7 linked regions of the Ovis aries genome follow. The protein of the gene in region 5 purifies or fractionates together with the protein of the main gene of each other region. This does not show direct contact. Links are inferred from orthologs where the notes say so. Each region holds a gene or a part of one and is shown on either strand. Other genes may lie near its edges.

Region 1 (3,833 bases), on a different chromosome or scaffold from region 5:
AAATTTTAAAGCACTGAAATTTCCATCCTGACATCCACTGGAATGCAGAGGCAGACCTGACCAGCTGGCCATGTCAGTCTTGGCAGTTTCCCCTCAGGTTTTATTAATAACAGGAAACTAAAAGTTTTAGTGAAAGACACTTTTGTGGATGGAAAGGGCCTCAGAAGTTGGCACTTAAACAGTTTATTTAATATTAGACATTATCAGATTGGGCTAAAAATCAAATTGCCTAAATTGACTTTAGACAAGGGAGTTTTAGTGGCAGGTTTCAATAAACTGGCAGACCACTGATACTAGTACCTAACAGCAGTCTTCTGATGTGAGGGAGAAAGCTTAAATGTGCCTCTCTCCATAATAAATGAAGCCCGCAAACAATGTCCCCAGTCTGCACAACTGATAGTAAGAACCACGTCTTCAATTTTCCAGGCGGACCATAGTTGCTCTCCTCCCACTTCCCTTGAAACCTGGACAGGCGATTTACACACAAGGAGGCAGTCAAGTTGCTTCAAAATATTTAATACGTGTTAGACACGTAAAGTTACATTTTTATACAAAAATCAATACAACGAAGGAGAAAATACTGTACAAAAACCTTGTCAGTTCCCCCAACCTTTATACAACAAAGACTGGAGTTACTATCTACAAAACCATAGGGCCTTTCCACTTAGGGCTTCTGTCTGTAAACTTTGTTTCCTTAAACACTTTTTAAAAGCACTGTGTAGTAGTTCTGATCTAGAGCTTTTAAAAAATAAATCTTTTCTCTATAAACTCCGTATTTCCAAGCTTGAACTCTTCTGTGAAGTTCATCAAGCTCTTTTTTCCCCTCCGTGACGAAGACAAGGGCCGCTAACACTCCCTTTCCCCGAGTAATCACAGGGTATAAACGTTTCTTCAGTGACAGAGAAAAGTGGGGAAGGAGAGAAATAATACAAGTCTCTACTCCAGACTAAATCCCTCTAGTCCGAGGAAATCCTGGGAGGAAACGCCGCTCCTGGCCTCGGTGCGGTTCTAGCTTTCATGTAAGAGGTGTGTGTAAAGTCCCTTCCTCCCCCGAGAGCGAACGGGGAACTCCCCGGCCCCGGCCTTTTTCGCTGCTTCCTTCTCGGCGCTGCCGGCAGAGGAAAGTCCCTGTCTGCCCCAATCGTCTAAACCGCGGGGAAGGGACGCTCTCCAGAGGGACAAAATAGCCTTAATTCAATGAGACAAACTGACATACACAGATACAGACACAAAAGTCCACGATCGCCGTCCTCTTCCAATAAGTCTCCCACTCCGAAGTCTCCAGAGGAGAACCGAGAGGCTCGGCCCAGCCGGCCGCCAAGCCCAAGGGCAGTCTGTGCCGCCCGGCGGCACCCCCTCGCGCCCGGCGCCGACTGCCTCGGGGGCGTCCTCGCCGCCGGGAGAGGCCCAGCCCTCACGTCGAGACGCCCGCTGCTCAACTTCCTCTCCGCACTGGGACCGCGGGGGCTCAGAAGGCCACGATAGCAGTGCTCCAAGGGTTAATGTCTCTCAGCACCGGCTTATCGCAGCAGATCTGCCCGGGCTCGGCGGCTTCCGGACCGCTCTCCTCTCCCTCCGCTTCCTCCCGGCCGCCCCCGGGGCTTTTCCGTAAGAGTCCCGAGAAGCTGGAACCGAAGATGCTAATGAGGTTAGCCACGTTACCGGTCTCCATCTCCTCCTCCTGCTCCTCCTCCGCGGCCGCCGCCGCCCCGCCCGGCTGCTCCTCTGAGTTCCGGCGGGGTTTCTTGAGCGGGGTCGAGCCGGGCGCAGGGCAGTCCGCGGGGCCGCCGCCCACCCACCCCGCGCCGCGCTTTCTGGCGCAGACGGGGGGCGACGCGGGGGGCTCAGCCGCAGCGGGGCGAGGCGCGCGGCAGCCGTCCACGCGAGGGGCCGCGCTCAGATTGTCCTCATCCCCCGGGGGGCAGCCGCAGGGGCCGCGCGCTGCCTCGGGCCCTTCGGGGAAGACCCCCGAGACTTCGGCGGGACCCCCGGCTCCTCCGACCGCCGTCTCTCGCGGTCCCTCCACGCGGCGCCAGGCAGCTTCCGGCGCCTCCGCCTCTCCGCCCTGAAGAGTGTCCCCGGCGGCCGTCACCGTGGCCGCGGGCTCCGAGTCACCCGCCCTTGGCACTTCTGGGACGGCAGGGCGCTCTGGCTGAGGCTCGGGCTCCGGCCAGGCGGCACGGCCGGCCGGCGGAGGTGGCTCCCCCCAGCCTGCGGGTGGCCCGGCCGCCGACTCCTCGGGCTGCTGCGGCGGCGCTGGGGCCCCCGGGTGGCCGGCCAGGTAGAGGCCGGGGCACGGGTCGCTCAGGTAGACCTGGCGGGCGCTGCGGAGCACCAGCGAGACCAGGAGGTTCTTGTGCAGCTTGATGCCGCCGCGCTGGACCCGCGAGTTGTAGATCTTGCCCAGGGAGATGCTGACGATGCGGTGAGCCTCCAGTTTGAACTCCATCCTACCTCCTCCTTCCCAGGGCTGGCGCGGAGGTGAGGGGGTGAGCCCCAGCCCACGTTCCGAAGCTGAGACGGGAACAAGAAGTGCCAACAAGTTCGCCACGGGGGGTGGACCCTCGGTCTGTGAAGACTCCCGAAGAGAAACGGCTCTGACGACGCGCTCACCAGCCTCCACGCCCTCCCCACTACAGCAACACAGCCAGTTTCGCGTCCGGTCGCTAACTGAAGGCAAGCTGGCCGCCCGGCGCCTTATAAAGCCCTCTCGACAGCCAATCGCGAGAGGCCGCCAACCGTTCCGGGGCCATCGGCGCGCCCTCGTGCGCCTCGAGCGACCAATCAGAGACCGAGGAGGGGCGCCAGGGCTATTCGAACGTTAGTCCCGCGGAGAAGGTTCTTAAAGGGGGAGATGCGCGCGACCGCCTGCAGGCTGTTAGCCCGAGACAGTGCTGCGAGCCCCGGTAATACGGAGAACGGGACAGCTACAGTGTTGTTTGTCCTTAAAGGTGCCTGGCCTGTGCGCTGCTTCCCGGAACCAGAGCGAACTAAACCATTCGAACTTTCATCCGAGTATGGTGGTGGACTTCGTTCGGCAATAAAGCCTCGATCCTTCCTGGATCAGCTCTCCTCCCATTCCCACCCCGCACCACCGTTTCCAAGGCGACATACACCTGTAAGCTCCGCGCAACCTAACGGAAATGGAGACGAAGGCAAAATGCGGCACAGGATTCGCCTAGATAACATACTTGTGCTACAAGATATTTGGCAGATATTAATTTTGGATAAGTCCCTTGCCTCCTAAAGTCACATACACTCTAGTACCTGTCAATTTTAACACCGAAGAAAGAAAACGGGGGTTCTGAAAGTTCCAAAGTTTTTGTCTACTCAGGAAGGTTTTGTGTCTACCTACAAAGTTTTTGTGTCTACCTACAAAGAAGGCAATGGCACCCCACTCCAGCACTCTCTCCTGGAAAATCCCATGGACGGAGGAGCCTGGTGGGCCGCAGTCCATGGGGTCGCTAAGAGTCGGACACGACTGAGCGACTTCACTTTCACTTTCATGCATTGGAGAAGGAAATGTCAACCCACTCCAGTGTTCTTGCCTGGAGAATCCCAGGGACGGGGGAGCCTCATGGGCTGCCGTCTATGGGGTCGCACACGACTGAAGCGACTTAGCAGCAGCAGCAGCAGCACAAAGTTTTTGGTTCTCTATTTAAGCTAGTATTTATCACTTTGTTCTCTAGTTTCTAGAACCAATACAGTTGTAACATCAGCTACAGTGAAAGGTGGTTCACATTCTTGACAACGATTTTTCTTCAACACGAGGACTGACCAATCCACCCTTGGGGAAAAAAAAAACTAACATGTCATAAAAGTACAAATAGAGA
Region 2 (4,217 bases), on a different chromosome or scaffold from region 5:
AGCCAGGGTCTGAACGCAGGCTGGCCATTATAAACAAATGCTGCACTCAGCAGGAAAAAGGAGGGCAGAGGTAGGGAAGTAAAATGGAGCTGTAAGGTTAGATGACAGAAAATCAACACCACAAAGGTTTGCCACAGCTGCTGGCAAGGGGCTCCACACTAAGCACCGCTGAGAAGGGTAGGGGCTGCGGGGGGCACGCCACTCTGCTCCAGCCCTCCACATCCCTGGCAAAAGCAGAGGATAAAGATAAATGACAAAGCACTGCCACTTAAAAATTCGTGTTTGGTGGAAAAGTACAAATATTCAGAGAAAAAAGTAGGTAAGATATAAGCTTAAATATACCTCAAAGAAACTAGGGACTGGCAGTTCAACTTATTTAGGAGCTGAAGTCAAAATAATCTCTCTGGACAAATTCAGAAAGCTTGCTCAGGTGACGAAGGATCAAGTGTGATCGAGGAGGGGTGCAACATTCTTCTCCCGAAAGACGTCTTAAAATTATCAGACAGTCAGAGGGAAAAACTGATTCAACTACCAACTTTGCCCACCACTTAAAGTCTATGTCTACTAGTCACAGAGAGGTTAACTGACTCAGCTAATTTCACAACTGGGTATTTCACCCGACAGTCAAGCCTGAGAGAGACAGCGATTTAAAACATCAATCTTAAAACGTGAAATTACAGGTTATCACACAAGAAAATTGAATGTAGCCAGAACCTGAAGCAGTCCATAAGCAATTTGTCTCAGAAACACAAATATACCACTTTTTGGTAGTTCTATTTACAGAAATACATCCTCCTGTATCAATACACAGCTATTTAGTAGACTCACAGACATAGAAAACAAACTAAGGGTTACCAAAAGGGGATGGGGAGGGGATAAATTAGCAGTTTGCGATTAACATATACACACTACTTTATGTAAAAGAAACAAGAACCTTCTGTATAGCACAGAGAACTATACCCAATGTCACGTAATAACCTATAATGAAAAAGAACCTGAAAAAGAATATTGTGTATTTATAGCTGAACAAGTTTGTTGAACACTTAAATGCAACATTATACTTTTAAAAAAAAATTGTTAGTACATAAAAACCCAAAACAACGTTACACTTAATTTAAAAAATAAAACACTATTTTAAACTTAGCATTAACTCTTCCATTCCTAAGACATTTAATTTTAAGGGTACTCTATAAATAATATTAATAAAATCTTTCCTTCAATGCCTTTCTGAAGCATCCTGCTTTCCAAACAAAATCAAGAAAGTCTTAGGGAGTATGGCTTAAAAATAAATAACAATTCAAAAGCATTAAAGAATAAATAATTTTGTTACTCCTCCACGAGACCTTTTTACATAAAAATAGTCTAGGCTATAAAAGATGAATGAGAAAAAATGTAAAGTCCAAAATAATTCCAGTGATTAAGAAAAAAATGGATACAGAATTCAGAAGATTGTCTACGATCACACAATCAAGAGCGACTGAAAACAGTAAACCACCTGCATATTTTATTACTTTTTGGAAATGAAAAAAAAACCTTACATGTAACAGCAACAGAAATAACCTTCTGAAAAGTGCTACCCTTCAGGAGAAACACATACCCCACTTATCATTTCAGGTAAGCACTGTTGCCAAACTTAAGACTTGCCGTCTTGTTTCTGAAAAATCAAACATTTTTGCTTCCAAAGAGCCTCTCAACGTGAAGACCAGCCACCATCTGTCTCAACTAGAGTCAACTTCTATTTTAAAAAATCACAGTCTGCCATCACACCCACCTCTCTACAAACAAATGCCTGACGCGTTACCAAGTATTAGCGATGTTTGAAGGGCCGAGTCACCTGAGAAAAAGCCTCTGTTTATTATTACCACGCGCGTTGATAATTCACAACACCCAGGCTCATTTCGGTGCACTTTCCATTACGAGGCTGCAGGAGATTAATCTGCTTGGCGGCTGAAGCTTCGGGATTGCCAGTCCGCCCGGGTTAATGCTGGGGTTGTCAGCAACCCTCACTAGAGCGCCGGTCACCCCACAATCACACTTGGGTGATGAATTCCAGGTGTCACGGAGCCCCCGCCCACCCATCCCAGACGCCTTAGGTCTGGATCCGGGGCGGTGCGGGGGGGGGGGGGGGGTCCGGGCCTAACCAAGGGCTGTGTCCCGAGAGGGGTCCTGGAAAGGCCCGGCCCCGCCCAGGGGCTGAAGCCGAGCATGAGACGCAGCTCCGTCTGGACCCGGTGCCGGGATGAAGGCGGGCGGGCGGCCCGGGAGGGGAAAGACGAGGGGTCCCCGCACCGCCCACCCCGCACCCAGCCGAAGCTCCCCGGCCGCACCTCGCCCCTCTTCTCGCTCACCTTTTCACACAGCGTCCGGACTTGGTTCTCGTTAAGCTGTTTACACTCATTCAGCTGCTCGACCCACTGGTCCAGGTCCTTAGTGAACGCCTTGTCGTCCATGGCGGCCCCCGCCCCTCCGCCGCCGCCTCCTCCCGCCCCCCGCGCGCCCCCGCCCCGGGCGCCGCTCCCCTAGCCCCCCGCCGCCGCCGCCGCCGCCGCCCAGCTCCCGGCGGGGGAGGGAGGAGCCGGGCACTGCGGACCCCGCGCCCCGCCCAAGCCCCTCGGGCGGCTCCGAGCGCGCGGCCTCCGGGAGACCCCCGCCCGCCCCGGCCCGCCGGCCCGCGCGCCCCGAGAGTCGGTGAAGGCCGCGGGGACGTGCGGGGCTTCCGCGCAGCTGCCGCCGGAGGATGGGCACCCGCCGCCTGCCGCCCGCCAGCCGCTCTCGCCTCCCTGGCTCCTTCTCTCTCGCTCTTTCTCTCCCCTCCCTCCGGCTTTCCGTCATCGCCCGGGCATTTCCGCCGGGAAAAAAGGCGAGCGGGCGGCGCCGCCGGGCCCGGGACTCGAGAAGGCCTGCAGCGCCCCGTGTGGCGCGGCGGAGAAACAGGCCGACGGGCGCGCCGCTGTCTCGCTTTTCCCTTTTGTATCGTACTTCTCCACTCGGGTCCAGACCAGTCTCTCCTCGCTTTTCCCTTTACGTCCTTTTCTCTGAGAATTTTTTTTTCTTCTTCTTTTTTAGCGCTATGGAGAGAGAACTGGGAAGCTTGTGCTTCTCCTTGACCACATAGTCTCCCCAGAGTCTAGCACTGTCCCATAGCCGGCGTTCATTACCTATTAAACAGATACATACGTAAATTCTTCCATATCTTAGCTTTGTCATTAAGCAAGCTGTAGGGCACCGACATCTCGAATCCTCCCTTTAGGCATCAGAAACACGAATCGATTACTCTGTGATTATCAATCAGTTGTCCCTTCCAGCTCCAGCATTCTTCACCACATTTATGCAGTGTTTACTGAGCTCTATTGATTTGTTCACTCAGCAAATGTTCATCGAGCAACTGCTAACTGCCAGATACCCTGGAGAGCAGGTGGTCACCAACCATACTTCCTCTACTAGACAAGTGGCGGCAGGCAGCATCCTTTATCAGAAGGCAAGAGCCCCCTCTTGGCATCGCCAACCTCCTCGCTGTGTCCTTGGACAATGACCAGATTGCCCCCAGCCTCTGAGTCCTCATTTGTTGCAAAGGTGCGGTAAGGCCTGCCTTTTCAAGTTGTGAAGATTAAATTCTACAAGAGCTTATCCGATAGTACAGAATGGAACTCATGTTCCTTGCCTTACTATCCCTACTAGGCAACAGCTACCGAAAGGTTTTCTCCCCGGGGCAAAACGTTGAAGTTGCCTGGAGAAGGGAAAAGAAATTACACCGATTTGTTTTTTGGACGGTGGCAGAGGACAAATGTGTGAAAGACTGAGGTCTTTTCGGGAAGCTATAAATACTCCTAGCGTCGGAAGTCAGTCATATGGTGGGAAATATGGCTGGAAAGCTCCTGTTCTCAAGTGCCTTGTAAATAGCAGCAAAGCAGTTGAGGACAGAACGTGAAAAGATGGCGAAACAGTACTGAACAAACAGGATACCTGCCGTGATTCAGGAGATTTGCGGTCTCCGAGGAGGTTCGTCTATAAAGGTTGAAAGGTTGAGTTTCAGCTAAACCTGTCAAGCTCAGAATGAAATGAGAGTAAGAATAGTGTTTTTGGAGTTCCTGGAGAAGATGGATTGAGAATCAAAATATACCTTGAGGAGAGATGGGAAGGACAGATTGTGTTTAGGGAGGGAGGTCCTTCCTAAGCAAATGTGTTTGAGATTAATGTGAGAGAATGCTCTTAAAGCT
Region 3 (3,273 bases), on a different chromosome or scaffold from region 5:
CTTAATATGTGCTAATTCCTTTCCCTTTCCTTTTCCCAAAGCCCTAGTTTTTATCCTGTTCCTCCTGGGGTTGCCCTCAGAGACTCAAAACTTGCTCTTACTCCTCTAGACCAAGAAAGACCATCCATACACTTGGAGAATTGAACTGGCAAAAACAGAAAAATACTGGGATGGCTGGTTCCGAGGCTTATCCAATCTCTTTCTTAGTTGTCCTATTCCTAAATTGCTGCTCTTGGCTGGTAAGTGTGCATGTGTTATGTATTAGTCAGCCTGGGATGCCATAACAAGATACTGGGTGGCTTAAACGGTTCTGGAAGCTGTAAGTCTGAAATAAGGGCTCCAGCCTGTCAAGTTCTGCTGAGAGCTTTCTTACTGGCTTGCAAACAACCACCTTCTCACTGTGTTCTTATGTGGCAGAGCGCGCGAGAGCACCAGGCTTATCTTACGAGGGCCCTACCTTTGTGACCACATTTAACCTTCATTACTTCCTCATTTAACCTTAATTACCTTCATATCTCCAAATGTGTTCCCATTGTGAATTAGGATTTCATCATATACATTTTGGGGCGGGGGGACACAATTCAGTCTCTGGCAGTGTATGTATACTGTCATCTCAGTTATGTCTTTGTTAAAAGCGTTTACCATATGGGTAGCGACTTCCAAAGTGAAATACCATGCTTACTCATTTGTGCCCTTTCTCCTTCCTTTGACAAATCCATAACTAACTAAGCATGAGCATCCACCAGGGATGAGCTAATTCTGGCCTGGACTCTGTACCTGGTCAAACCCAAGTCCTTTTCCTTGAGTGGTATAAGGATATTCTGAGTAAAAAGGAAATTTAAAAAGTAAAGCCTGTTTTCAGAAAGCAGCTTAAACAAGCAAAGTGATTTTAGGGAACATCAGCCTCGAAAGCTTCATGTGATGAGACTATATACTCAGGAAGTTAGGATTGGCATTAACATGAATTGAGAATGTCATCCTGTTTACCACTTTGTAACAATTTTTACTTCATAACAGCAAAACCTATTTCATACAGCCTTTTCAAGTAAGCTACTTGTGGATTCTCTTATTTTATTCTAGGTGTTGATAGATTGGATAAAGATCTGACTATTGGCCAAATGCAAGGTAAGTTATGAAGAAATTACATTCCTAGGTCCCCTCAGGGCAGAGAAATGGGCAAAGTCATGTGGAAATTTTCTATCTAAAAATGGGAATTATATTACCACATAGACCTCAGAGTTGTAAGAATTAAAGTGATGCAGTGTCTTTGAAAGGGGCATTATAAAGTACTGTGTGCAGATATATTATGAAAGGAGATATTCTGAATACTAGACAGTATTTTTATTATTGTTAGAATTCTTAGGAAAAGGAAAGGTCCAAGATAACCCAAATACAAAAAGATACAAGTTCTGTTTAGAAGACAACATGATGAGGTGGTAAAAGCAAGGACTCTGCGGTTGGGAGAACTGTGTTTGAGTACTACTTCTTTCCTACTAATTTTTTTTCACCCTGGGCAGGTTACTTGACCTGCCTCAGCTTTAATTTTCTCAATTTGTAGAATGAGAAAATTGATGGCAGCCTGACAGGGATTGTGAGGTGTAATGAGTAGGAAAGTGACATGTGCTCAGGTTCAGATGTGTTGGCCAGATGACTATGGAGGCAGTGGAACCAATTTCATGGAAGCTCTTGGCTTTAGAGCAGATGAAAGGCTTAATGAAGGTGAAGTCACTAGGCATTGGCAACTTCGGGTTATATGAAAAAAGGTGCCAACTCCAGAGCCAAGGTTTCAGGCTTAAGCAGATTCTGTTCTTGACTTTCTTTCTTTTCTACTTACTCTCCCTGGGCAATCTCATGGTTCCCATTTACACCCTGATAACTTACAAAGCGATGTCTCACGGCCTTGATGACCGGGGATGGGTTCCATATTCTTTGGTCTCCTTAGAGATCTCTCTCTATCAGTCATCTCTGTCCACTCTTAATAAAATGATCACATTTGTTTGAGCTTACAGTGTTATACAGGACAGTGTGAAAAAGTGTTTAGTACTGTCTGGAACATAGTTAAGTAACTTATTATTGTAATAATAAATCTCAAAATCTTTAATTTACAAATCCCTTAATGATAAGGCCCCTGCTTACATCTCCAGCCTCATTGTTAACTCTGATGAGCACCATGCCAAAGTTTTTCTTCTTAGGAGCAAATACCATTTCATCCTCCGTTTCTTTGTGTAAGTTACTTTTTCTGTGTAGGAAGCCTTCCTGGATCCCTGTTTTATTGCAAAGACCCAATTCCTGTTTTTTTCCAGTTCTATGTGCTTAGTGTTAGCCTAGGAACTACATGCTGCATTAAAATCTGAGTTTTATATTTTGCTCTCCCACTAGACTATAGTGTAAACAGGAACTGTTTCTATGTGTCTGGCCCAAAGTAAACGCATATTAAGTAGGTGAAGAAGGAAGAAGTGAAGGGAAATGATTTGCTCAAGGTTACAATGTCAGGTATTACCATCTTCCTCACAGGCTTGTTAATTGGGTCCAGACTGTTGGGGTGGGGTGATGGGGAGGTCCTGGCCTGCTAACGTGACCTGTGAGGCTGCAAAGATGGTAAGGAGAGGGCCATTTTAGTCCTTGAGGTGGCTTTGGTTTATGTCTTCCCCAGGGAAGTTCCAGATGCAGGTCCTGCCCCAGTGTGGCCACGCAGTCCATGAGGATGCTCCAGACAAGGTGAGTCTGGTGCTGGATGCCTGTAAAAGGGCAACTGAGAGAGTAACTGTGAGTCTCATGGAAGACAGCATAAGCCTCTGAGTCAGCCTGTGGTGCTTGCAGCAGCTGCTGTGGGGCCTACACACATGCAGTCCCACCAGCCCCCCGGACCTCTCCCTGGCAGCTGCTTTTGGTCTTGCCCTTCTGTGTATGGGCTGAGGAGCTACTGGCGCCCTGCTGTTTTACCCAGGGCCCTGTGGTTAAAATGGAGAAAGGAATAGCAACCCACTCCAGTATTCTTGCTTGGAGAATCCCATGGACAGAGAGGAGCCTCCTCCATGGGGTTGTAAAGAGTTGGACATGATTGAGCGACTAACGCACTGTGGTTAAGATTGTAAGCTCTACTTCTCTATTATCCCCAAAGCCAGATGGAAGAAGAAATAACTGTGGTAGACACTGTTCCCTAAAACACACGCAGTTAGGAATTAATATGTGCTCTTCCTGTAGGAAAAAAGTGCTTTGTAACTCTACGGGGATAACTAAGCCTTCACATCATTCCTCTTGGCGTTTCTGGAG
Region 4 (3,959 bases), about 45 Mb from region 5:
CCGGGAGGGAAGGCTGCGGAGGAGGCGAGGTTCCCTTGGGGTGAAGGGTGGGAGGTGGGGTTAGGAGGGAGGAGGCTGATGGACACAGGGAAGGGGGGTGCGGTGGGTGAACGAGCCTGGAGGGGAGCCAGGGGCGGGCGTTCTGGGGCAGGGCCGCCCCTCCACCTCGCCCTCCTCCTCCTCCCCTCCGACCTCGGGGTCAGGTCCCCCGGGTCTCAGGAAGCCCGCAGTGGCGGGGCCGGCCGTCTGGAGGCGGGGCGGGAGCTTTCCCGGCGCCTGCCCCCGCCTTCACTCCCCGCACCTGCGGCTCCTTTGTCCTCCCCACAGCCCCCGCCCCCACCCCCTGGGGCAACCCCGACTGTCACTCTCCTGAACTGGCGTTGGGGAAATTGTCAGGGTTTTCTCTCGGGGTGGCGAACCTGGGGATGGGGTGGGGCCAAAGTCAACGAGTGCTCCCGCGGGTATTTCTAAACCCACAGTCTCGAAGGGAAGTTGCTGGGGCCCATTCCGCGTATGAGGAAACTGAGGCTGGAAGCTCAGGTCCTTGCCTGAACCACACAGTTACGCTGCCCGAGACTGGAACTGGGCGTAAAGGGCGCTCCAAAGCTCACCAGTCCAGCCCCACCCCAATCCTGGGAACCCTGCCGATTCAGTTAATCAAGTGGGGGGAGGGTAGCTATCCTTCCATTCTCCAAAGGAGGCCTGATACCCAAGTCGGCTAGGGTCACTGTACCCAGCAGTATCCCCCAAACATCTGAACTCGGAAAGCCTTCTCACCCAGAGTTGTAGGGAGGGGGTGTGTGTCCAAGATCCCGCCAAACGTGCGACGTTTAAGAAAAGGTCGGAGCGCCAGGCGCCCAGCACGAAAGCGCTCTGGCAAAGAAAAGGGGTCGGCCCCTTCCCGCCCACTCTGCCCACGTGGTAGCGGTCAGACCGGTTTCTGGGGCCCCAGCAAGCCGCCGCCAGCTCTTGACCCTTTAACCCTGCCCCTCCCCCACCAGGGAAGAAAACCAGACAGGCTGCACAGACTTTGTATACAATTGGTCTTTATTTTCCTATCTGGCGATTCTAGCAAAAAGGCCAGATAGAGGGAGTTACCAGAATCCACCAGTAAAGGCAAACAGAAACCCAAAATGCCCTGGCGAGAGAGAATCTCCCGCCTCCCCCAAACTGGCCAGTCTCGCCCGCCACTGATCCCAGCTCAGCCCTACAGCGCTACCCCCATTTTTGTGATTCAGACCAGGAACGTCCGGGTTGATCGTTTCTGTGGGTCAAGCTTGAGACGGTGAACAATATTCCCACCTCTAACGCACCACATGAGAAAAAATTTTAAAATGAAATTAGATCAGCCCTCTACCTCCGGAGGCGTAGGGGCTTCGGGCAATAACCCGCAGAAAGGCGCAGTGACTCAGGCCGCCCTCCTCCCATTCCCCAGGGCGGTCCACACCCCAGGTCCTCCTCCCGGCCCCCACCCACGCACGGCAGCAGGAAGCTCCCCACGTCTGCCCCATGACGCAACGATGACCGCTTGCACAAGTATGTCACTGGAGGGGGAAGGGGAGTGCCTGGAATTCTCTGAAGTTAGAAACGCAAACACCGACGATTGAAAAACCTTATTGAAAGGGCAGCATAGCCCCCAGTTTAAAAAAAAAAGTCCGACCCTGAGGAGTTTCAAGAACCAAGCCTCCCTTCTCCCAGTTCCAGGAGTCGGTGAGGTTCACCTCCCAGTCCGTTAAAACAGCACCGATGGGAACAGCAGGTCTGGGGGGAAGGCGCCCGCGCCTCCGGCTCGGGCTCCTCGGCGTCGCCGCTCCACACAGGTAGCGACGGCTCCCCGGGGGCAGAGTCCCTCTCGGGGCCTCTGGGCAGCCCGGGCGACTGCTCCTCTCCACGGCTTTCGCGAGCGCTCCCCCGGGGGTGGGCCTCGCCTCGGGTCTGCGTACTCTGGCCGACGGTTCGGCGCTCTGGGCTCCGGTAGCGCCGCCCTGGAACCCTCAGAAGGCCACCACGGCCCGCACCAGGACGTTGAGCATGTTGTCGGCCGGGCGGCAAGCCGGCTTCGCCTCGCACGCCGGGGACGCCGTCGGAGGGCTGGCAACAGGACTGCAGTTCAGGAGGCCGGAGAAGCGCCTCTGCAGGACGCGCGCCAGGTTGGGGAAGGCGCCCTCCGCTTGCGCCGGAGCGGGCTGCAGGCGATCAAGGACCTCCGAAGACGCCCCTTCCTCCTCCTCCTCTTCTTCTAAGCGGGCTTTCTTGCTCGGGACCAGAGCGGCGTCCGCACCATCGCTAAGGCTGCTGCTCCGCCGCTTGCGGCTGATTTTGGCGGGGAGCTGGACACAGCGGGCAGGGCTCTCCTTGGCTCTCGGTGCCTCCTGGGTGTCCATGGGTTCCGGAGAGGGCTGCTCGCCGTTGCCGGTCGCTGCCTTGGCTGCGGCTTCCGCTTCCCGAGGAGGGTGCAGGCGAGGATCAGGGGAGCGGACAGCCGGCAAGGGCACCTCGGGTTCCTGGGCTTCCACCTTGGCCGAGAGGTAGAGCTCCCGGGCGCTGCGCATGACCAGCGACAGCTGCAGGCTCCGGTGCAGCCGCAAGCCACCGCGCTGCATGCGTGAATGGTACATCTTCCACACCGACAGGGTCATGATCCGTTGCGCCTCCTTCTGCACTTCCATAGCTGCTCGAGGGCGAGGGCGGCAGGGACTCCCGGCTGGGAACGGCAGGTGGCAGGTGCACTTCGGACAACGCGCTCGTTCACGCCACTCTCAGCAGGACAAGCCACGCGGAGACACTGCCAGGACGCTCTGCCCGGGCGCCCGCCACCCGGGCCCTTTTGTACCAGGAGTGAAGTCACCGAGACGCCCCGCCCAATCAGAGAGCCGCATCCGGGCTTTCCGCGACGCCTCGCCGAGAGACTCCTTAAAGCGACAGAGTGGGATTTACTGAGAGAAAAGGGACCCGAACTCCTGTGAGGAGAAGCGTCCCCCAGTCCAAGCTGAACTCTCGGGGTGGTCTGCTTTTTCCGGGCCCCTCACTGAACCCGCGCGCAGGCCGCGGGGGGCGGGGGGCGAGGGCCGTGGGTGGTGCTCAGGGCCCACCCACCGGTTGTGTCTGGAGACCCCAGCGGGTCCTAGGCTGCACCTTCGCACCTGAGAAAACTTGAGTTCCAAACGGTAGATCCCCGGTGGAAACTGTCTACCATCCACCAGGAGCCTAATTAACGTGTTTTTAAAAAATCAACAATGGTGCTAACAATTATTAAGCACTTGCTAAGTGCCAGGCGCTAAAGGCTTTCCTATCATAAACATCTCATTGATCTCTCTCTTCCACTCGTAGAGTAGTTGTATCTTACTTCTTTAGGCGAGTGACTCGTCCAATATTTGCTAAACGAATACTTGAGCCACTGCGGTGAAAGGGGACCAGTGGAGTCTCCAGCACTCTTGTCTTGCCAGCCTCCGCCCACCCTCCTCACTCCCCTTGTTTGGAGGCGGTAAGAAGGCGGGACACACCGCCTGGGTCTAGGGCAAAGTTGTCCACTTCACGGGAGGTGGATGTCTGCAGACAAGAGCGCAGCCTAAGCTACAGTCTCTGTGCTCCGCATCCAACATCCCTCTCAGTTTCCCTCCTCGCGAAATCCACCGTGGGCGTCCATGCCCTAAGGCGGAGGACCCGGCAGCAACACAGGACGAGTGAACACGTGGCTGTGGCCCCCTAAACGACGCAGCCGAGCTCCGCCTCTGCTCCCGGGGAGGCGGAGTTGGATTAGGACTTGGAAACAGAGATAGAGCAGATAGATAGAAAACATCAGCCCCACCTTCTGCTACGCACTAAGATTGCAAGAAATATTATTTCCAGTTCCTGAAAAACCGCGAAATTGTTCGAACAGCTCCCTTCATTCGTAGTGCGGGCTCTTTAAGGGCAAGCTCCCCCGCCCCCTCCACACCGGTGCGCGAACCTTCCCGCCA
Region 5 (3,642 bases):
GGTGCCCCAGCCCATCAGCTTACTGCTGCATTTAGGAGCCAGATCATAAACAACAAGGACTTGGCCTTTAGAAGTCAAGGGAATAAATAAGCTGGAAAAGGGTGAAGGGAAAAAGCCAAGGAACGTGTAAGTAGAGGATTATATGGAGCCATTTAAAATGACAAAAAGCAAGAGCAATAAAGCGACAGATGGAATGTGGCCCCACAGGGCCCTGCCAAGCTAACTCTGAGAAGCGATGTGTTCTCTTGATGTCCCCTGAAGCATTCATGGGGTTTCCTGGCCAAATTCTCAGGCTGTTTCTATGGCACTTACGAAAAAAGAATATAGCATTGTTGATGTGGTCCTTTCCCCTTCCCATTCTGCATCCTCTTCGCAGCCTCGTGAAATAAATCTCTGGCTCAAGCGAAATCATGAAAAAGAAAATGGGAAAAAAAAAAGTGCTGTAGGAGCAGGGGGGTGCTGACTGGTTCTGATTTGTCAAAAAACAAGGAGAATTTCTCTAAGAGTAAACAGTGTTTATTTTTCATTGAGTTTTTTTTCAATCAAATGGAATTGCTTAATTAAAAAAAACTTATCTCTTTTCTCTTTAAATACTACAGACAACCTCATTTTATCTCAGCAGACACCTAGAAACAAAACACTGGACCCACCAGAGCAAACGGGGCAATAAAAGCATCAGAAATTCAAGTCAACTATGGAAGAGTTACTGTTAGCTGGCAGCTCTCAATTCTAAACAGAAGTGTCCCAGAACCTACTGGGTTTGACAAAAGTTTCTTAGAACTGGGGATGTGGGAAGGTTGGACTCCATGGACTTCTATTCCAATTGTCTCCTGCAGAGGGAAATTAAAGTCGATGCATCAAATGAACACCCAAAGAAACATTTAAAAACGTGTTTGACTAGTATTCAGTATGTGAGATTATTAAGTAATAACTTGTCCTCCTAGTTAACCTTGTCCTGGAATATATATAGGTTATTTGTAGCCGCCACTGCTATAATATTTTCTGAAGGATGCCAAGCTGTATGCAAGATCTTTTTGCTAAAGTCCAGACTGTCGACACTGATCTCATCTTTTCTCCGCTTGCCCCCCACGCACACTTTGCGTGGTTTTAGGATAGCTCGGGGTTTGCTGTTTTCCCTCGAGGCCTCAAGGGTGACATCGCGTTTGGTGTTGCGGTCAAACATCCTGAAAAAGTTGTTGTAGGAGCCTGTCATGATGACGCTGCAAGGCAGAGAGGAAACAGGGAGTGACTGAGTGCCGTAGACGTAGACTTTCTACAGCTAAGAGACCGAACACCGCAGCAGGCTTTGTAGTGTGACCACTGACTTTAGAAGCACTAAGGAAAGCAAGCTCTTGGGCTGGGTGAAGGGTGATGATAGCCCTCCTTGCTATTTATCAATAGATTCCTTTAGATTATTTTGTTCCATAAGTCAGTCTAGTGGTTTTAAGGATCCCAGCCCACCTCCTTCACATCAGGATTCTGAGGCTGCAGTCAAGTCATGAGAATAGGAATGCTGAAAATAGCCGTCCTTGTATCGTGTTCGTTTAGAGCCTGGCGGTCGTAGGAGTGACGGTGCTGCTCGACTGATAAGGCTTTCTGGCATCAGCACTGAGGGATGCTGACATCGTGCCCTCTTCCCGCTATAAACTAGATCGAAATTCTGCCTTTTCTGAAAACTTATCTAAAAAATGGATCTCATCTTGGTCTTGGGAGGGAGTAAACAAAAATTAGAATTTTAAAAGGATGTAGGATGAGGAAATAAGCCTTTGTAGTGGACTTACAGATGGTTGCCTACTTTCCTACAAGAGCTATCCATTCTCAGGAGTATCTCTCATTGATAAAGAGAGCAGGGGGTGCCAAGAGCCTCTCAGAAGCCATGAACCAACTCTACTTAATGGTGACAGGCCAAGGGAAACATAATGTCCCTCAAGCAGCACCCTCTTATGGCTGACCCCCAGAGAGGTGGGCTTGGCCTTATTTGTGGGTAAGGCACCAACTGGCTGGTTAGGATGGGAGAACTTTGCATCTCGTTGTCTTGGGCTAGAGGAAGGTGAAGGAAAACTGACAGGACTGAGCCCTGGCCAGGGGGCTGAGTTTTTGGGTATTTGTTAGTTGTCCCGGAAATTAATCAAGGGCTAGATTTTGTTACCCTGGCCTGGGAAACCGATGCCATGAAATAGGGTGAGCAATTATCATCTCATCACGTGGGGGTGCTGGGTGCTTTACCCCTAGCCTCATTTCCTTTTCCATCATTCCATGTTAAGGGGTTTACACAGGAGGAAAAGTGAGTGCATGTATGGTGTCACACAGCCAGTAAGTAGCCAAGTTGGGCCTCCAGCCCACATCTGCCAGATGCTGGAGCACAAGCATTAAGCCATTTGGCCTTATTGCTTCCCACGCACTGACCTCTGCTTCCATTACCACCACCCGACTTGTTTTTAAACCGTAGGAGAAAGTCTTTTTTTGGGGAAAAAAAAAAAGTAATCTCAATCTTATCTGGACCAAAAATAACATTTTCTCGGTTATGGAAAGAATCTGTAATGTGGTGGAAAGAATGTTCATTTTAGGATTTAAATTCTTCCTCTTGTCTCTACTACTTACTGTGATCTGCCCAAACTCCTGAACTAGTATCCGGCTGAGTCTCAGTTTCCTCAGCTGTAAAATGGGGACAGTGAAAGTAATTTTGATGGATGGTGGTCAGGATTAAAAAATCATGATGTGTGAAAGTACCTAGTAGGTATAGGTTTTGAGTCTTGGTTCAGATAGAAGGGGAACTTGAACAAAAAGAACCACAAATATTAAAAAAATCTATTCATAATGAACAATGAATAAATTACCGATGGAAATTAAAATAACAGGGCAGGGATAGCTACTTTTCCTCTGAGGGTCTTTGTTCAACTAAGTAACAGTTGCTTTGCTCTGGGCCCTCTGGCCTCCACCAACTGGGTGGTGTGATCTGGGTTGTCTACCATGTGGTGACTCCTTCTAGGCCTGCTGAGTGGAAGGCTGGTTTTGGATCACTGGCCCAAAAAACCCAACAGGGGTCAGAGAGGTAGAGCCTGTGCTCACTAGAAGCTCACCCTTCTGAATGCTTTGCAGTGATAGAATTTCCCTGCTTTTCAGTAGGACTGCTGGTGCTGCCTTCACTAAGGAACAGCCCCCCTGGTAGCCTGGGCTGGCTTCTGGAAATCACAGCAGCATCTATTCGTCAAGCCAAAAAGAAACTGCAGGGAGGTAATAGGAAGTACTGTTGAAACCAAAGGCCTCAAATAGTCATAAATCCCTTTGAGGGCACAGAATAAATGAGGCTGATGAGAATTCAGTTCATGACCACCAGGCCTTAGGCCAGTCCCTGCTGGCAGTTCGAGGGATAATTTCCCATCCAGACAGTACACTTTACAGTCATTGGAATGGTTCATCCTCAAAATTTGCCAGGGGAGCTTCATTTTAGGTGCATGGACCCAGCTCTGGGAGGGTCTTGCCTGTATAAGGTAGGATTTTTGTGAGGTTAAAGGGTCACCTGATCCAGTTCTGAAAGAGGAGTCCAGGATCTTACCCATCACCTGTTCCTTTCCAGACTTGACCCCGAGGTCACCTGCTGGGCCACATGGTGCAGCCCTGCCAGGCCTCAGGGCCGATTCT
Region 6 (3,500 bases), on a different chromosome or scaffold from region 5:
TAGCTATAAACTGACACATTGTGAGCTTTCTCAAAAACTAGTCAAGTATTCATTTCTCTCAACAATCAACAAATGTTAAGTGCCTGATTAATGCCAGGCACTATGGGAGGCCCTGGAAATAAAACACTGAACACAGCCCTGCCCAAAAAGAGATCAGCTGTCTATCTCCTCATCTAGATTTTAACAGTTAATAATAAAGTGCAGCCACCATGATGAGGGCACATCACACCAAACTCAGAACTGACTAGGGTACCTGCTATAAGAGAAAGGAAAGGATGTGGCTATAAAACCCAGCACTGAAATTTTAATTAACTTGTTTTCAATAAAACTATTCATAAATCTCAAACAGTAACAGATAATGTGATAATACAAACTCTGGCCAAAATATCAGCATTACAAACTTCAATACTCCTTTTTCATATGGGGAGTCCTCAACTCCCTTTAACCAGAATGCAAGAAAAGTGGTAACCAGAGACATTTGCTCAGAGTACAGGCAGAGAGGGAAGCTTCCCTGAGCAAAAGTCAAATCTCAAAACCATACTCCCCTTTCTTCTCAGATAAATATTCCTTAAGCCACAGAGTCATTAAGTATCACAAAATCTATGTGACATATACCAAGAAATTATATATTCTTCTGTGGCTTTGCTTTCAGATGGTGGGGAGGTGAAATGTGTTTTTATAATACATTTTTGTTAGATGCAAATGCACTGATGAAAATGAAAACCACTCTACAGGCAACTGACAGAGACCATACTTTCTCATGCCTCTAAATGAACATAACCACATGAGCCATGTGGGCCTCCTGCTGGCCCTGGGGAGTCTGCTCCACTACGTGATGCTATCCTTCAGCTCACAAGAGCGCCCACACTCACCAGCTGGCCCGCCAACAGTGGCATATACTCGATGATGGCCAGCCGGACCCTCCATTTGGCATCTTCAGCCAGCTCCACTATGGCAGGGAGGAGTGACTGGGAGAGCTGCCGGATCCCAATCACTTCATTTACACAGTCCAAATTGGAGATGATGTTCAAACGAACTTCAGGACACTGCAAATACACAAGACCCAAAACAGCACATATAAAGATCAAGTTCTCTGATCAATATTCTCCTACCACCATGATGAGCAAATACATTTTAAAATGAGAAAGTGTTGACTTGCATGAAAAAACTATTGTCTTGGAAGAAATACTTAATACTGAGTACATAAATAATTCAAACTGCACAATTTAATTGACTTAAAACTCTCAATGAAAAGTCTATGAAATGTAAAGAGCACATAAGCTATGAAATCAAATTACATGTATTCAAATCCCATATCGACCCAGCTGAAACTTCAGGCGGCTTATTTTACGTCTGTGCCTCACCTTCTTCGTCTGTAAAATGGGAATAATAGTAAGACCAACCCTCAAAAATAAGATTGCTGTGAAAATTACACATAATAATAACACATGCAAAGCACTGATGATCATGCCTGGCAAACAAGATAATTTTTATAATATTATATCTAAATTTAAATGAAACTTTTCAAATAAAGATCCATTAAGTTTAAAGATAAGAAAAAAACAGTGAATATAATCAGGAATTAGGCAGAGAAGATGGACAGCCATTTTTACGTCTGTATCAGTGGCCCATTTTCTCAGGAACTTGTAACTCCGTGCCCAAATGCCATCAATGGTTTAAAATAAGTTACTTTTTCAGTGACACCCCAAACAAAAACCAAACCAAATCACCGACTATCAAAGGACAACAAAATTTACAGCCAGACTCACCTCATCCTTTAACTGAGCTAAAAAGAGAGGTAGAAGATGTTCAATGGTATTCTCTTTGCCCAAAATGGTAGACAACCCCATAATTACAGAAGCTAGAGCCGACTTGACATGTTGATTTGTATCAGACACTAATTCCTAGAATAAAGTCAAAATTAAAAGCCTTTAGTTTTTTTGCAAGACAACAGAAACTTCCAAATGACTTCTCAAGGAATTTTAAAAGATAGCGCTCTTTCAATACTGATTAGTCAATAGTTTCCTCAGACCATCTGTCAGATAAAATAAACCTATGCAAAAAAGAGCATTTTGCACTTACAAAATATTAATAAGTAATAAATAACAGTGTCACACATTAATATAACTGTCCCATTCATCCCTGGTCCACGTTTAAATTCAAAGAGCTTTAAAGTAATACAAACAAAAATTGAGGTCAGGTTTACCTTCACACAGGGCAAAGTGTAACAAAAAATAAACTAAAGTTAGGTTTACCTTTATATAAGGCAGAATTTGATTCATAATCATGGTCTCTCTACCTTCCATAGGCAAGTTCTCACAAAGTTCTAAAATATACAAAGAGAAAAAAAAAATGCTTATGTAGAGCCATTTACAAGGAGCCAAATGAAGAAATTTAACCAGATTTATCAAGTTTCAAGTTAAATCAAATCATATGTTTAAGCAAATAAGTTCCAAGGAAGAAAAATGGCTGCTTTTAAATGCACCTTTTGGTCAATCTATATGCCACTGTGTACCACACCAATCCAATCTGGATTGGATACTTTTTTTTTAAACAGAAGCTATTTGGTTTTAAATAAATAAGGGAGTAGCTTTATGTGACAATGTTAACATCTCAACACATTAAAATCATCACTATTTTTCTGAAAACATAATCTGTAAGACCAAAAAAAAAAAAAATACAAAATTCACTGACATAAAAAAATGCACCAAAGTGATCTAGTTACAACATAAACTGACACCTTAACCTTTTACTTTATGGGCAGCAGCTGCTCGGACTTCAGCTTCACAGTCTTTGAGTAGGTTCTGAAAGGCGGGGATGAGGTCATTTAGGGTGATTTTGGGACCCACAGCTTTCTGGAGCTATAAAAGAATTTGTACAGGTTTTAATGCACTCTAATCAAAATAACTTAACAAGCACAATGCAATCATCAAGTATAGACAGTCCCCAACTTATGATCGTTCAACTGAAGATTCTTCAACTTTAGGATGTTGTGAAAGCAATACACGTTGACTAGAAACCAAATTTCACGTTTTGAATTTTGATCCTTTGCTGGGCTAGTGCTATGTAGCACTACCCCCTGTGATGCTGGGCAGAGTGGGGAGGCCAGAGCTTCCCGTCAACCATGGAATCACAACGGGGAACAACCGATACACTTAAAACCACTCTGTTTTTCACTTTAAGTACCAGTATTGAATAAATTACGTGAGCTATTCCACATTTTATTATAAAACAGGTTTTCTGTTAGAGTATTCTGCCCAACTGTAGGCTAATGTAAGTGTCCTTTAAAAGTTTAAAGTAGGCGAGGCTAAGCTATGCCGTTCGCAGGTTAGGTCCATTAAATGCACTTCCAACTGAAGTGGGTTTCTCAGGACATAACCCTATCATGAGTCAAGGAAGGTCTATGTATATTTTTGCCTCAGGCACTTCCAATTCAGAAACTTTTGGTTATGACAGCAAATCTGTGGGTTTCTGAGGGTTTTCTTCCTTTTAGTACTTAA
Region 7 (4,290 bases), on a different chromosome or scaffold from region 5:
AAAATGGAAAACAGCAGTTGCACATTAACTTCACGAAGAATGCAGATGACACTGCCTTTGGTAAACAGTCTTTGAATATTGCCAAATGGATGGAGCTACACCCAGAGCACTACCAAGGGGAAAACGGACCCAATTCACATATAAAGCAAAATTAGTAAAGAACCAGCGAAACATTAAGGCCCCAAACTTGAAACCTTAAAAATGCTTTTCTCCCATATAGCTGGTAGTGCCCAAAACATGCACCATAAGCATAAAACCGAACAACACAAACCAGGAAAATTTTCAGTATACGTAAGCGCCCACTGGACATGACTTAGAAACTGAACAAAAGTGCCCATCAGACTGTTTCATGATAAAACTACCATCAAGGCTACTTGCTCCTATGAAAAAAATATCCTAGCTATACTTACTTATTCCTTCAAACAACCTGCCTCCCACAGTCGCATCTACATACTCAACGAGATCTTTATCTTTGTTCACACAGTATCAGCTCCTTTCTCCCAGTCTTCTCTCCAGCCAATCTTTACCTCTTTGCTTCTTCCAAATGACAAAGGTATTCGTAGGCCACATTCTGACGTCTCCTCTCATCCATCTCCTCTGCAGTAAGTCTCTCATTATCCAGGACAGCTAAAACATGAAAGAAAGAATGTAAGCGCAAGAATCTGTAACCCTTCCTGAGCTATCAAAGAATGCCACAGCATCAAATTCCTGCTGGTCACCTGGAGAGTTAGGGTAACGTGTGGATAGCCAGGTGGACTATAATGACTTTCCTTAGATAGGAACCATTTTTCAACTGTTATATACTCATCTTAGTATCTATTTAAAAGTACAATATTATTTTACTTTTAAATACAATAACATATTGTACAGTTGTTACAGTTGTTCAGTTGCTAAGTTGTCCCTCTTGTCCCTCTTTCAACCTCAGGGACTGTAGCCCACCAGCCTCCTCTGTCCATGGGATTCTCTAGGCAATAATACTGAAATGGGTTGCCATTTCCTTCTCCAGGGGCTCTTCCTGACCCAGAGGATCGAACCCATGTCTCCTACATTGGCAGGTGGACTCTACCTGGTGAGCAACCTGGGAAGCCCCCAATATTATGAACATGTACTATATGTACTATATGACTTGAGATTTTGGTCCAAATTTGCGCTAATCTATCTGCCAGACTCTCAATCCAGAGCACTTTGTGCTTTTTCACTTTTTTATTAATCACTAAAGCCAGCAGTCACTGAGACCTAAGTGGCAGTGATTGTACTGTGCTTTTTACATGCATTCTCCCATGGAAGCCCCACAACAATCCTGTGATTATCAAATGTTTTACAAATGAGGAAACTGAGGCTCCATGATCTTTGCCCCAAGGCTAATAAATGATGGAGCCTATATTCAAACCCAGGTGGTCTGTCTCAAAAGCCCCTAAGATTAACTTCAAAGCAACCTGCTTTCTTTTTGGGCATCCAGGAAACAGAAAAAATGCCTAAGTGCTAAATGCCTAATTGGGGTTGGCATTCAATGCCTTTCCCAATTTAGCGGCAACTACTTTTGCTAACTCTTCCCCCCACACTACTGTGTACTCCACACAACTCAGGAGCCAACACACACAGCGCTCTTCTCTTCCATAACTTAGTTCACTCTCTTCCGCTTCACCCTCATGCCTTGCCCCACCCTGCCCTGTCAAACTGCACAGCATCCTGCAAGGCTCTGTTCAAATGTTCCAACTGTGTTCCTACTGCCTTCCCTAAACCCCTCTTCTTCATCCACATTACCTTTTAAGCCTGGTTGGTTCACAGGACACCTTTATCTCTATCCCTCCTTATTATCATTAGATAGTTACACCTGTCTGCCTCCCTAATTAAAACGTTCTTTGAAAGCAGGGTCTGGTCTTACTCAGCTTTAATGTCACAAATTTGACGTAATACCTGGCACAGAACTGTCGAGTGAAATTAGCCTAAAACACTATTCTCAGAATATCAAATAAAATCGGGAACCTCAAGACTCCAAAAGGCCCTCCTTTGGCCAGCGGTAACTATTCCACCTGCAGTTCAGTGATGTCCCAGGACAGGGACAGAAAATGAGATTCGGAAAATGAGGAAGTCAGAGGTATGTTTCTTTTTTTCTTTTTTGTGTCTTCACTTTTGAAATCCTGTCGAGGGAACTAAGCCCGAGAAAGCTGAAGTGACTTGCCCAGGGCCGCACCTCTCAGCTAGCCTGGGGCCGGGCAGGTCTGGACCCTGGATGTACCCGCAGGCAGCGCTCGGGCAGCGCCTTCCCGCGAAGCCCGAGCAGAGCCCGCGTCTCGGGGCTCCGGTTCCCGGGACACGCCCTGCACCGTCCTCCTGCCACCTCACCCTAGGCCGTCTCCCCAATCTCGGTCGAGCTGGGCGGCGGGAGGCGCTGGGTGGGGCCCTCCGGCCGCAGCGCCCGGGACCAGGCGTGGGGGCGGCCGGGGTCCTCCCCGCCGCCTCGGACACCGAGGGGGCGCGGGCTGGGAGCCTCGCCACCCGCCACCCCGTCGCATCGGCTCTTCCGGGTCCGCACGGCCCACAGCCGCCCTGTCCCACCCGCCAGGCCAGCCCCCCGGGAAAACGGCGCCGGGGGGACGGCGAGCCCGCCCCGGGACCCCTGCGCCGCGGAGCCCACACTCACAGCCATAGTGCGGCCGAGCCACGCCCAGTCCGTCAACCTCGTCCGTGGAGGACATGGCGGCCGAGCCCGGGTCTCTGCTCAGGAAGCGGAGAGACCTTAGAGGCGCGGGCGGCGGCGGCGGCAGCTACTGCACAGTGCGCGGGCTGCCCAGGTCCCCGAGGCTCCGCCCCGCGCCGCCGGCCCCACCCGCGGGCCCCGCCCCAGCGTCCCCGCCCTGCCGCGCCGACGGGAGAGGGCGGAAGGAGGCAGGGCCTGTGCCTCCCGGCTCCGCCCCCGGCCCCCTCCCTGCACCCAAAAAGCCCTCTGGAGGCGGAAGGAAGAAGGAGGAGCCTGCCCGCCGACCCTTCTCGCTGGCAGCTCTTCTGGACGGAGAAGACCAGCCCCGGCCCTGGATCTTTGCCCTCCCCGGCCGCCGCCCGATCCGCGCCACTTATCAAAATGCCGCCAGTGTCTGTAGCCTGACATAAAAAACGTGGGCATCTTCCGTTCCCCTTCCCGCCTAATCAAACTCTTCTGCACCAAAGGGCTCAAGGAAGGCCTCCTTTGAAGTGGCCCAGTGTGTTCCTGTGGACACATGCAGGACCCAGACTGCCCTAAGGGGCCGCACAGGCTGGCAGTCGAGACAAGTCTCCCAGCTTCGCCAGCTGTCGCCGGAGTTGAACTGCTTAACCCCTCTAGTATCTGAGAAGTGGATGCTAAAGCAGGAGAGTTGTGTTTGTCCAGATCTCCTTCCCGCTAGATTCATTGCCACTGTTTTTTGCAAGTTCTTCTTTTTAGGGGACTCTTTACCTTTTTAGGAGTGCCTCCTCTCCTTGCAACTTGTGGCCTGCCCTTAAAATATTGGTATGCAACGGAATTCTGGCCTCAGCACTCTTCCGTTTTTTCCCTTGCCCACTTTTTTCTGAATAACTTTATGCACGTTCACCTTAAATTGCTGAAGAGTCGTAAATTTGTATCTCAGATCAGACTTCCTAGAAGCCCCAGTTCAGTATTTTCGGCTGTGTAATGTGGCTCAGACGGTAAAGCGTCTGTCTGCAGTGCAGGAGATCCAGGTTCGATCCCTGGGTTGGGAAGATCCCCTGGAGAAGGAAATGGCAACCTACTCCAGTATTCTTGCCTGGAAAATCCCATGGACCACGGAGCCTGGTAGGTTACCGTCCATGGGGTCACAAAGAGGCGGACACGACTGAGTGACTTCACTTCAATGGACATTTTAACCTATGAATCCCGCAGAAACTTTAACCGGCCGAACCCTGACCCTGCTCCTGTTATAATCCCTATTGTGTATGCCCAGTCGCTCAGTCTTGTCCGACTCTTTGTGACCCTATGGACTGTAGCCTACCAGGTTCCTCTGTCCATGGAATTCTCCAGGCAAAAATACTGGAGTGAGTTTCCATTTCCTCCTCCAGGGGATCTTCCCCACCCAGGACCCTAGCGGGCATCTCCTACATTGGCAGAATTAGGCACTGTTAATTGACAAAAAGTCTAATATAGGATAACTATAAGATTAAGATTATCTGGATTTATGAAATATAATTTAAAAATCCAGCCCCAAGGACTCAACCTCTCTTTTTTGAAGACTTATTGAAAATATTAACTATTTGGGTGCCTGATTTAAAAGATAAATCTAGTATAAAGGCTAGTCC

Evidence for each region.
Region 1: the proteins of PPP2R2B (region 5) and IER5 purify together in Homo sapiens (affinity purification with mass spectrometry; 4 studies listed by BioGRID and IntAct, with this or other methods). This does not show direct contact. The link is inferred for Ovis aries from reciprocal best matches to the Homo sapiens genes PPP2R2B and IER5.
Region 2: the proteins of PPP2R2B (region 5) and PPP2CB purify together in Homo sapiens (affinity purification with mass spectrometry; 5 studies listed by BioGRID and IntAct, with this or other methods). This does not show direct contact. The link is inferred for Ovis aries from reciprocal best matches to the Homo sapiens genes PPP2R2B and PPP2CB.
Region 3: the proteins of PPP2R2B (region 5) and PPME1 purify together in Homo sapiens (affinity purification with mass spectrometry; 3 studies listed by BioGRID and IntAct, with this or other methods). This does not show direct contact. The link is inferred for Ovis aries from reciprocal best matches to the Homo sapiens genes PPP2R2B and PPME1.
Region 4: the proteins of PPP2R2B (region 5) and IER2 purify together in Homo sapiens (affinity purification with mass spectrometry; 3 studies listed by BioGRID and IntAct, with this or other methods). This does not show direct contact. The link is inferred for Ovis aries from reciprocal best matches to the Homo sapiens genes PPP2R2B and IER2.
Region 6: the proteins of PPP2R2B (region 5) and PPP2R1B purify together in Homo sapiens (affinity purification with mass spectrometry; 4 studies listed by BioGRID and IntAct, with this or other methods). This does not show direct contact. The link is inferred for Ovis aries from reciprocal best matches to the Homo sapiens genes PPP2R2B and PPP2R1B.
Region 7: the proteins of PPP2R2B (region 5) and IQGAP1 purify together in Homo sapiens (co-immunoprecipitation; 3 studies listed by BioGRID and IntAct, with this or other methods). This does not show direct contact. The link is inferred for Ovis aries from reciprocal best matches to the Homo sapiens genes PPP2R2B and IQGAP1.

The regions. Positions count from the first base shown.
Region 1 is NC_056065.1:61,598,587-61,602,419, reverse strand, and holds IER5 (immediate early response gene 5 protein), read right to left. Parts: upstream 2,673-3,833; 5' UTR 2,450-2,672; coding exon 1,469-2,449; 3' UTR 501-1,468; downstream 1-500. UniProt on the Homo sapiens protein: Plays a role as a transcription factor. Mediates positive transcriptional regulation of several chaperone genes during the heat shock response in a HSF1-dependent manner. Mediates negative transcriptional regulation of CDC25B expression.
Region 2 is NC_056079.1:26,064,113-26,068,329, forward strand, and holds the start of PPP2CB (serine/threonine-protein phosphatase 2A catalytic subunit beta isoform), read right to left. Parts: upstream 2,801-4,217; 5' UTR 2,451-2,800; coding exon 2,349-2,450; intron 1-2,348.
Region 3 is NC_056068.1:52,332,965-52,336,237, forward strand, and holds part of PPME1 (protein phosphatase methylesterase 1), read left to right. Parts: intron 1-109; coding exon 110-239; intron 240-1,080; coding exon 1,081-1,125; intron 1,126-1,323; exon of another isoform or gene 1,324-2,653; coding exon 2,654-2,718; exon of another isoform or gene 2,719-2,738; intron 2,739-3,273. UniProt on the Homo sapiens protein: Demethylates proteins that have been reversibly carboxymethylated. Demethylates PPP2CB (in vitro) and PPP2CA. Binding to PPP2CA displaces the manganese ion and inactivates the enzyme.
Region 4 is NC_056058.1:10,736,966-10,740,924, forward strand, and holds the start of IER2 (immediate early response gene 2 protein), read right to left. Parts: upstream 2,801-3,959; 5' UTR 2,670-2,800; coding exon 1,995-2,669; 3' UTR 778-1,994; intron 1-777. UniProt on the Homo sapiens protein: DNA-binding protein that seems to act as a transcription factor. Involved in the regulation of neuronal differentiation, acts upon JNK-signaling pathway activation and plays a role in neurite outgrowth in hippocampal cells.
Region 5 is NC_056058.1:55,515,630-55,519,271, forward strand, and holds the end of PPP2R2B (serine/threonine-protein phosphatase 2A 55 kDa regulatory subunit B beta isoform), read right to left. Parts: intron 1,221-3,642; coding exon 941-1,220; 3' UTR 501-940; downstream 1-500. UniProt on the Homo sapiens protein: The B regulatory subunit might modulate substrate selectivity and catalytic activity, and might also direct the localization of the catalytic enzyme to a particular subcellular compartment.
Region 6 is NC_056068.1:21,765,864-21,769,363, forward strand, and holds part of PPP2R1B (serine/threonine-protein phosphatase 2A 65 kDa regulatory subunit A beta isoform), read right to left. Parts: intron 2,862-3,500; coding exon 2,747-2,861; intron 2,327-2,746; coding exon 2,256-2,326; intron 1,905-2,255; coding exon 1,770-1,904; intron 1,047-1,769; coding exon 873-1,046; intron 1-872. UniProt on the Homo sapiens protein: The PR65 subunit of protein phosphatase 2A serves as a scaffolding molecule to coordinate the assembly of the catalytic subunit and a variable regulatory B subunit.
Region 7 is NC_056071.1:21,521,549-21,525,838, forward strand, and holds the start of IQGAP1 (ras GTPase-activating-like protein IQGAP1), read right to left. Parts: upstream 2,801-4,290; 5' UTR 2,700-2,800; coding exon 2,645-2,699; intron 628-2,644; coding exon 528-627; intron 1-527. UniProt on the Homo sapiens protein: Plays a crucial role in regulating the dynamics and assembly of the actin cytoskeleton.